2 linked regions of the Daphnia pulex genome follow. The protein of the gene in region 1 interacts with the protein of each later gene in a biochemical or structural test. Links are inferred from orthologs where the notes say so. Each region holds a gene or a part of one and is shown on either strand. Other genes may lie near its edges.

Evidence for each region.
Region 2: the proteins of peroxisomal membrane protein PEX13-like (region 1) and peroxisomal biogenesis factor 19-like form a complex in vitro, tested with the Homo sapiens proteins (2 studies listed by BioGRID and IntAct, with this or other methods). The link is inferred for Daphnia pulex from reciprocal best matches to the Homo sapiens genes PEX13 and PEX19.

Annotation. Positions count from the first base shown.
Region 1 is NC_060017.1:2,686,741-2,690,629, reverse strand, and holds peroxisomal membrane protein PEX13-like, read left to right. Parts: upstream 1-1,499; 5' UTR 1,500-1,629; coding exon 1,630-1,724; intron 1,725-1,799; coding exon 1,800-2,096; intron 2,097-2,167; coding exon 2,168-2,415; intron 2,416-2,490; coding exon 2,491-2,697; intron 2,698-2,767; coding exon 2,768-3,009; 3' UTR 3,010-3,359; downstream 3,360-3,889. Other genes in the region: opsin, ultraviolet-sensitive-like, read right to left, coding at 3,453-3,576, 3,641-3,742, 3,804-3,889. UniProt on the Homo sapiens protein: Component of the PEX13-PEX14 docking complex, a translocon channel that specifically mediates the import of peroxisomal cargo proteins bound to PEX5 receptor.
Region 2 is NC_060022.1:6,085,210-6,088,731, reverse strand, and holds peroxisomal biogenesis factor 19-like, read right to left. Parts: upstream 2,190-3,522; 5' UTR 2,033-2,189; coding exon 1,930-2,032; intron 1,865-1,929; coding exon 1,539-1,864; intron 1,468-1,538; coding exon 1,276-1,467; intron 1,209-1,275; coding exon 1,005-1,208; intron 945-1,004; coding exon 846-944; 3' UTR 731-845; downstream 1-730. Other genes in the region: DNA-binding protein Ets97D-like, read left to right, coding at 1-10, 71-247, 325-689. UniProt on the Homo sapiens protein: Necessary for early peroxisomal biogenesis. Acts both as a cytosolic chaperone and as an import receptor for peroxisomal membrane proteins (PMPs).

The sequences.
Region 1 (3,889 bases):
CGTCCACAGCAGCAGCCGCATTAGGTTATTTTCCTGCGGCTCCTAATATACTATAGTTGGAATATTAGTAAATAAATCTATACGCCATGCTGGGAGAGAGAAAGAGAAAAGGAATGTGTGTGCTGTTGTTGACTTGATAATTACACAGTTATGGCGGGACAATAACAGCAGAAGCGCCGCATGCAGAGTGCAGTGCCAGCTGCAGTTTTCGTCGCGTTTATCATGGTAATAACATCACTGTTGGTTACTATGTGCTGCCGATTTTTTCGCTTCACTCTTTACACCAGAATGTGTGGACACAGTCCTGGTAAATGTGTAATGTCTGCTGATGGGGATGTCTGGCTGAATATTTATTTTCCTCGTTTTTAAGGCTAATCGGAAAAGATGCAGATGGTCGGAATGAACAACCGCAGCCCAGATATTTAGGCACGGTATTCTACGTTGCGCCAGGGCTATAAGATCAAGAGGATGCATTAGATGAATTCACTTTCTTTCATAACGCCCACTACATTTCAATCTAATGATGGTCGTATTCACGGTGAATATTTATCGAGAAATTTTCACGTTGGAGAGTTTGTTTGTTATAGATTCAATCCTTCGAAAATTCTCGGATTTTGTTGTTCAAATATTCTTCTCGTTGCTCTCTGATTTTGTGGAGGATTCCGTTCATAACTTTTTAAAAAGAGAACCTGATTTGATGGGTTTGTTATGAAATGACTGCCCCAACTATTCAGTGAGATGTTTAGCAGTTTCTATTCAGAGCCGAGTTCTTTACATAACGCTGCCGTGCAGGCGTTCATGAAACCTATTGGCAGTCGACGTTGGCTGAATAGGGGGGTGGGCAATGGTGGTTGAATACACATCAGGAATCACGCACGCTTCACGACCGCACTCAGCAGAATTATTACACAACTACTACCAGAGAACCGGGTTGGTGAGAGCTGTGCTGCTGTGTGCAGGCACTTGGAGGCCATTCCCAACTCTCCTCCTTCCCCAATCCTATAGCCTTAGGCAGCTCCAATAATTGGCTGCTGCACGACAACGAATAGAAATTCAATCTCACCGGAGTGATTGCTTGCCAGCGTGAATCCGAGAACCTTTTTCTTCAATTCCTATTTATGATGTGCTCTCTACTTCAACTTTTTTTCACTCTCTCTCTCTCCCTTTCTTCATCCCTGACATGTTTAGATTATGTTGAGTGGTTTCCCAAGCATTTTAGCTTCATCCGAATCATTCCTTATAATCAAACTTCATTGTCGATTATGTTGAATATGTTGCAGTAAAAAAAAAGATATTAATAAATCTGATTAAATTTGAAATAGTCGTCAGACTTAATTTCAAAACAGTAAAAGTAAACAGACAAGGATATTACGCATCAACGCGTGTGTATTGTTACTTAGTTATATCCTTAACGTATTTAAAAGTTTGCGGCAGATTTTTGAATTGAAAGAAATTTTCACACTACTACCATCTACCGGTGTACAAACTCATCTCATTCGTTTCGGAATTTTTATAATGGTGTCGTCTTGTTGTTGACAAGTCGATTCCGTTTTCTGTATCAGAGTTCGCTGGATTTATCAGCAAATCGAGGCAAAGTCTTCGAGTTTTTAGTCTGAATCGTTCAACGCCATGGCAGCTCCATTAAAGCCGTGGGAAAGGGCTGGTGTAAATTCACGAGCTTTTGGTGGCGACATTGGCAACACCTTACCTACACCCATCGTCAGGTGCGTAATACATGTTGTGTTTAGTTCATTTGTTTGGTTTGTTACCTTCATCAATATCTGTTTTGATTATTTTAGTGGGGGTGGAGGAAGTGCTTTTACAGCTTCAGGGCCTGGCGTCCCACCACTGCCTCCTAGAGTACCCGGGGCAAACCCAACAAACAATGATTATGGTGCAGTTTCAAGCTATTCTCCATATCGAACAGGCATTTCAAGTTATTCAAGCCCTTACGGTTACAGTAGTGGATATGGGGGTTATTCGGGACTTTCTAGTGGCTATGGTACTAGTTATGGAGGCTATGGTAACAGCTATGGTGGATATGGAAGTTACAACTCTTATGGAGGGAGAAGTTATGGAGGGACAAGTGATAACAGGTAAAATTTTAAAAATTAAAATAATCATACTTACAACAATTCAACAATTTCATTATTTTTTCTCAAACAAGGTTTATTTCCATGGCAGAAGAGAGTTCTCAACCTGCATTTCAGAGCTTGGAATCAATTGTCCATGCATTTAGCTCCATTAGCATGATGCTGGATTCAACCTTGAATGCTGTTTACAGCTCTTTCAGAGCCGTATTGGGTATGGCTGATCAGTTTTCCCGAATGCGAACACATTTAAGCAAGGTGTTTTCTGCATTGGCCATATTTCGTACGGCAAAATGGGCTCTACACAAATTATTCTACATATTTGGTATGTCTGATTATGCAAATTCTCGACGCAGTAGTTGCAGCCATTGTTATCAACTAAACCCCCTTGTGTTTACAGGTTTGAGACGAGAAAATCCAATCAATACGGCATGGTCCACTGCCGTATCAAATTCGGATGCCTTATCTGCGGGTCTATTGACTGAAGCTGATATTAAAAAGTCCAGATCATCATGGCCCATCACCTTGTTCCTTGCCATAATCATTTCTGCCCCATATTTCATATGGAGGATCATATCTTCCCTAGACAGTGCTCCGGATGCACTAGGTGCGTTAACACACTAACTTTTGTTTCATAAACTCGCTTATTCAAATTATCTAATCTTTTAATGCTCTAGGAAAAAAGTGGGCTGATGGCCTAGGAGAATATTATACTGCTCAGGCAGATTATGATTTCAATGCCGGAAACGAACAAGAATTAAGTTTCAGAGCTGGCCAATCCCTACGCTTGGCTCCCCGTTCCCTTCAGCCTCGCATCAAAGGCTGGATGCTTGCCGGCACCGATTCACAACACACGGGCCTCGTACCTGCGAATTACATCAAAATTTTGGCCAAACACGAAAGTTCGACTCCCAAATAATTCATTTGACTGATATACAGTAGCTAAACCAAAGGAATAACCTTGTCCAAAAGTAAATTGTTAGCTGTTTGATGCCATTCAGTTATTTCGAGCTATATTTTTATCAGTCATGGAGTTGGGCCACTACTCATATTCAAAGCCTCAAAAACATTTAAGGCGTTTGAAATTATTGGCGGCCTTTGTGAAATTATTCAAATTTTTTTTACCCCAATTTTTAGAGGCTTGTGAATAGGAAACGCTCAAATGTTGACGAAATCGTACGATTAAGTGATGATGACTCCTTTTTGTTATGCTGGGTTTGTTTATTTGTAATTCAACAAATCAATATATATTGTGGGATATTAAAACTACTACTAATTGCTATGGATGATTTTTTCTTCGGAAGGTTATGTTCATGATCCTGTTTCGGTCCTTGGTCAAAATAATTAAAGGCTATGCAGATTTTACGAAGAAGTTTCCTTGGAGACACCAGACATTTCTGTCGTGGCCGAACCGACGCTCGAATCGTCGTTGGTAGGAACAGGCTCGTGAATGCAGAACCAGGGCATTTTCTTCTGCAGTTCCATGCTGAAAGGATGAAGAAAAATGTGGTAAGAATGACTGTCATTTCACTATGAATAAGATGTGTTACCGATAACGGGGATGGTTGATTGCATAGATCCATGGGTTGATGCAGGATACCAATTTACAACAACAGGCAGGCACCGTGCTCAGAAGTGGTGTCAGGACGGACCTGTGAAAAGATGACGATGGTGATTTATTTGAGAACAAATTTGTTGAAAGTATTATCTCACCTATTTCCAAAAGCGGCTGTGAGAGCCACAAAGGCATAAGGAGTCCAAGCGAAAACGAACAAGGTGGCGAGAGCAATTGCAACTTT
Region 2 (3,522 bases), on another chromosome or scaffold:
AAATTTGTCGGTATTGAATCAAAGTTTGAATTTTTACGATAGCAAACGTGTACTAAAAAGTTTTATGCAGGGGTGATTCAAAAACCAGTGCCTTATCTTCAGTATATCACAACTCCATTGACAGTTAAATCTGATACTTCCAGAATGCCAAGACCGCCTGTTAAAGTTGTTACTCCAGCAAAAAGGATTCCCCTTGAAACATTTTCCTCGCGTTCGTTCTCGATTGCTAACTCAGGAAACCGAACAGGTATTTAAAAAATATAGTATATGTATGCTTTAATGATCAAGGTGATTTTAACTTGAATTAACTTGTCCGTTTCACAGGCAGCAATGGCCAGGTACAACTCTGGCAGTTTCTCCTTGAGCTGTTGACCGATGTGAATTTCCGGGATGCTATTTCTTGGCTTGGGACAGGAGGAGAATTCAAATTAAATAACCCCGAAATGGTGGCTCAACTATGGGGAGAAAGGAAAAACAAACCACACATGAACTATGAGAAACTCAGTCGAGCCCTGAGGTATTATTATGATGGCGATATGATTTGCAAAGTAAGCGGTAAACGATTTGTGTATAAATTTGTTTGTGACCTCAAACAACTGTTGGGCTATTCGGCTGATGAACTTAATAAGCTTGTAACAGAGTGTGAGCAACGATCCAAAATGAGACGGGCAAGTTCGTCATACGTGTAAATACAAAACGTATTTGTTTAAATCATTGAGAATTGACGCCATTAATGATAAAATTAAGTTGTAATGCCGTTCAAACAATTTTTTTTAACGACCTTCTAATACCTTTTATAGCCCAATTTCAATAACAAAAACATGTTTTATAACATACTATATTAATTACATAACAACACAATTTTCGGCACCAGGTCCCATCGATTGAGCAAAATCCGCGCCACCGAAGGGATTCGGTAGCAGTTCAGCTTCACCAGCCAGTTCCTTGAAATTAAGATTTTTCATTAAATGAAAATCAATCAAATTATTCGTAGTCGCACTCACTTTAGGGGGATGGCCACATTCTTGCATTTGTTGCATCAAAGTTAATATCTTTTCAAAGCGACTATTTTTCGTCGCTGCATCATCAGTGTCGTTATCATTTTCGAATTCGGTACACACTTGCTGCATAACGGCGTATTGGCGGTTGTATTTTTCAAATTGCGCAGGTTCTAATTTCGGCCGATTGTCTGCGAGCCAATCTGGGTACTAAGGAGATAACAATAAGTTATGAGAGACAAGATTGACTATCATCAGTTCTCAAGTGAATGCTTACCTTGCTAACAATCTCTTTGATAGATGGATAAAGCAACTCCTTTGATAACAAACTTTGAAGCATTCCTTGCATTGCAGGTAAAATGTCACCCAAACCTCCCATATCTCCACCAGCACCATCTCCAAATCCCCCATCTGGTCCAAATGCCATTTTTTCAAGCATTTTGGCTAATGTAGCTTCATCAGCTTCAGTCTATGGAAAAAATAAGGACATGTTAAAGTAAAAATAAAAAAGTTTGGTTTATCCTACCCACAAAAATTTACCTGAAGTGATTCTGTTCCTTCTGCTAAATAGCGTAGAGTATCAGCAAAGGATGCTCCCTGGTCTGGTTGTCTTTCAAATACTTTAGCTGCAGCTTCTTGTGATACCTTTAACAAACTTTCAGCAAATCCAGAATCACCACTGGCCCCTGGTGCTGTTTCTGCCATCATCAAACGAATATTTTTCTCAAATTCCAAACTCGCTTCTTGAATAAACTCCTCAGACCACACAACATCTGATACTTGATCTGTAGGTGCTGCTGCTTCGGCTTTAACATTGTCTTTTGTTTTGGGCACTTGCAGTGGCTTGTCAAATCCTTCCAGGGCATCTGTTACATTTAATGAATGTTTTATTCCTTTGTTGGCAAATAACTAGTTAGTTTAAACTACATACCGTCAAGTAAAGCGTCTAGTTCTTCGTCATCTCCTTTAGATTCTTCTTTAATATCTGCCGTATCTTGTACAGACTTTGGATCATTAGAACCGGTTCCACTCATACTGAAATGTATCTATTTACAGCAAAGTACAGAATTGTATAAGTAGAAATAGATTTCGATATCAATAATATCGACACAGGCTTCAAAACTTGCTCATCCGGAAATTTCGACAAGGAAAAGAGTGCAAGACCAGACAAGACGACGAAATACTACCTCATAAATAAAACGCGATGTTGCCGAAATCATTCGGTATTTAGTGATGGTTCGTGCGTGCGTGAATGAAGCAGATGCGCTTCATCATGATTCATGAATGCTTGTTTATTAAAATTATATTTGGCGTGAAAAATGAATTAAAACAAATCACTTTTTTTTTAGGTTTTGAATTTTGCGTCTTTATTGGGAGAGTAAAATGTATTTTTTGTTCTGAATAACAGAAGCGACTGCTCATTCATAAATATTTTCTAAACCTAACAGTAATATTTCGTAACATAGTCAAAATCAAAGATTTCCATTAGGGCGGTTGCTTTAAGCTTAGTCTTGCTTTAACAAATGAAAACAGAACATCGAACATGTCGTTATATCCCGTTGTTACCAGTCGAGCAGTCGTTACCATCCCGCCTTTGCTTCAAAGTTCAAATCAATTTCACTTACCTGCCAGACCCAAATTAAAAGCTATGAAAGAAGGAATTTTGAAAAAGTACGTTCAGTTGGTAAAGGTAATATGTCTTCCGACAAAATGACAGTAAAAATTGTGATATTCTATAACGTACACGGTGGTCTGCCTTGCCGCAATAGTGCTTGTCCATTGCTGATACCAAAATCAATACATGAGTAGTAGTTTTCACTGATCCTCCAATATCTTGCTTCGTTTTATTCTTCCTCTTCTCTTCTTCACGAATTGCTGTACTACCGATTCTGGAATGACACATCGCGAATGTTCACCAAATCAAGAAAATTCACCATCTAGCCTACCTGGTATGATTTCGAGATGGTGGAGTCATTTTTTTTTTTAAGGCAAACTTCAATTGCTTAAAAAAATAATTGACACATAATGTGTTGAATGCTGATAAAATGGAAATTCAAGTATGAATCAAAATGAGTGAACTTAAAAAAATGCAAGTAATGCATCTGTATTTCATTCATTAAAAATGTAAACATTCAACATGACCTGCACCAACCCAATTTCACCCCTGATACTAGTTAATAAAAAAATTTTGGTTTTAAACACGCGATCCATATTCTAACAGAGTTTTAAATCATTTTAGATAACAGCTTATAGCTGTAACGGATTAATAACCTTTATGTGATAAAGTTACAGGACGAACATTTAGGCTGCAATTTCTATTGGTAATGAATTCGGCTGAAGTTCGTTTGGGGGACATTTTTACTCTTTAAAAAAGACACAGTTTAACCACTGTTAAACGAGAACAAATGATCATAGCCAAATGATTCGTAGCACCTCCTAAGTACTAATAAGACCGGGGAAAACTGTATGGGTGCTCAGTATTTGCATGTAAGGAGAAACGATACACAAAAAGGAGAAAAGCACT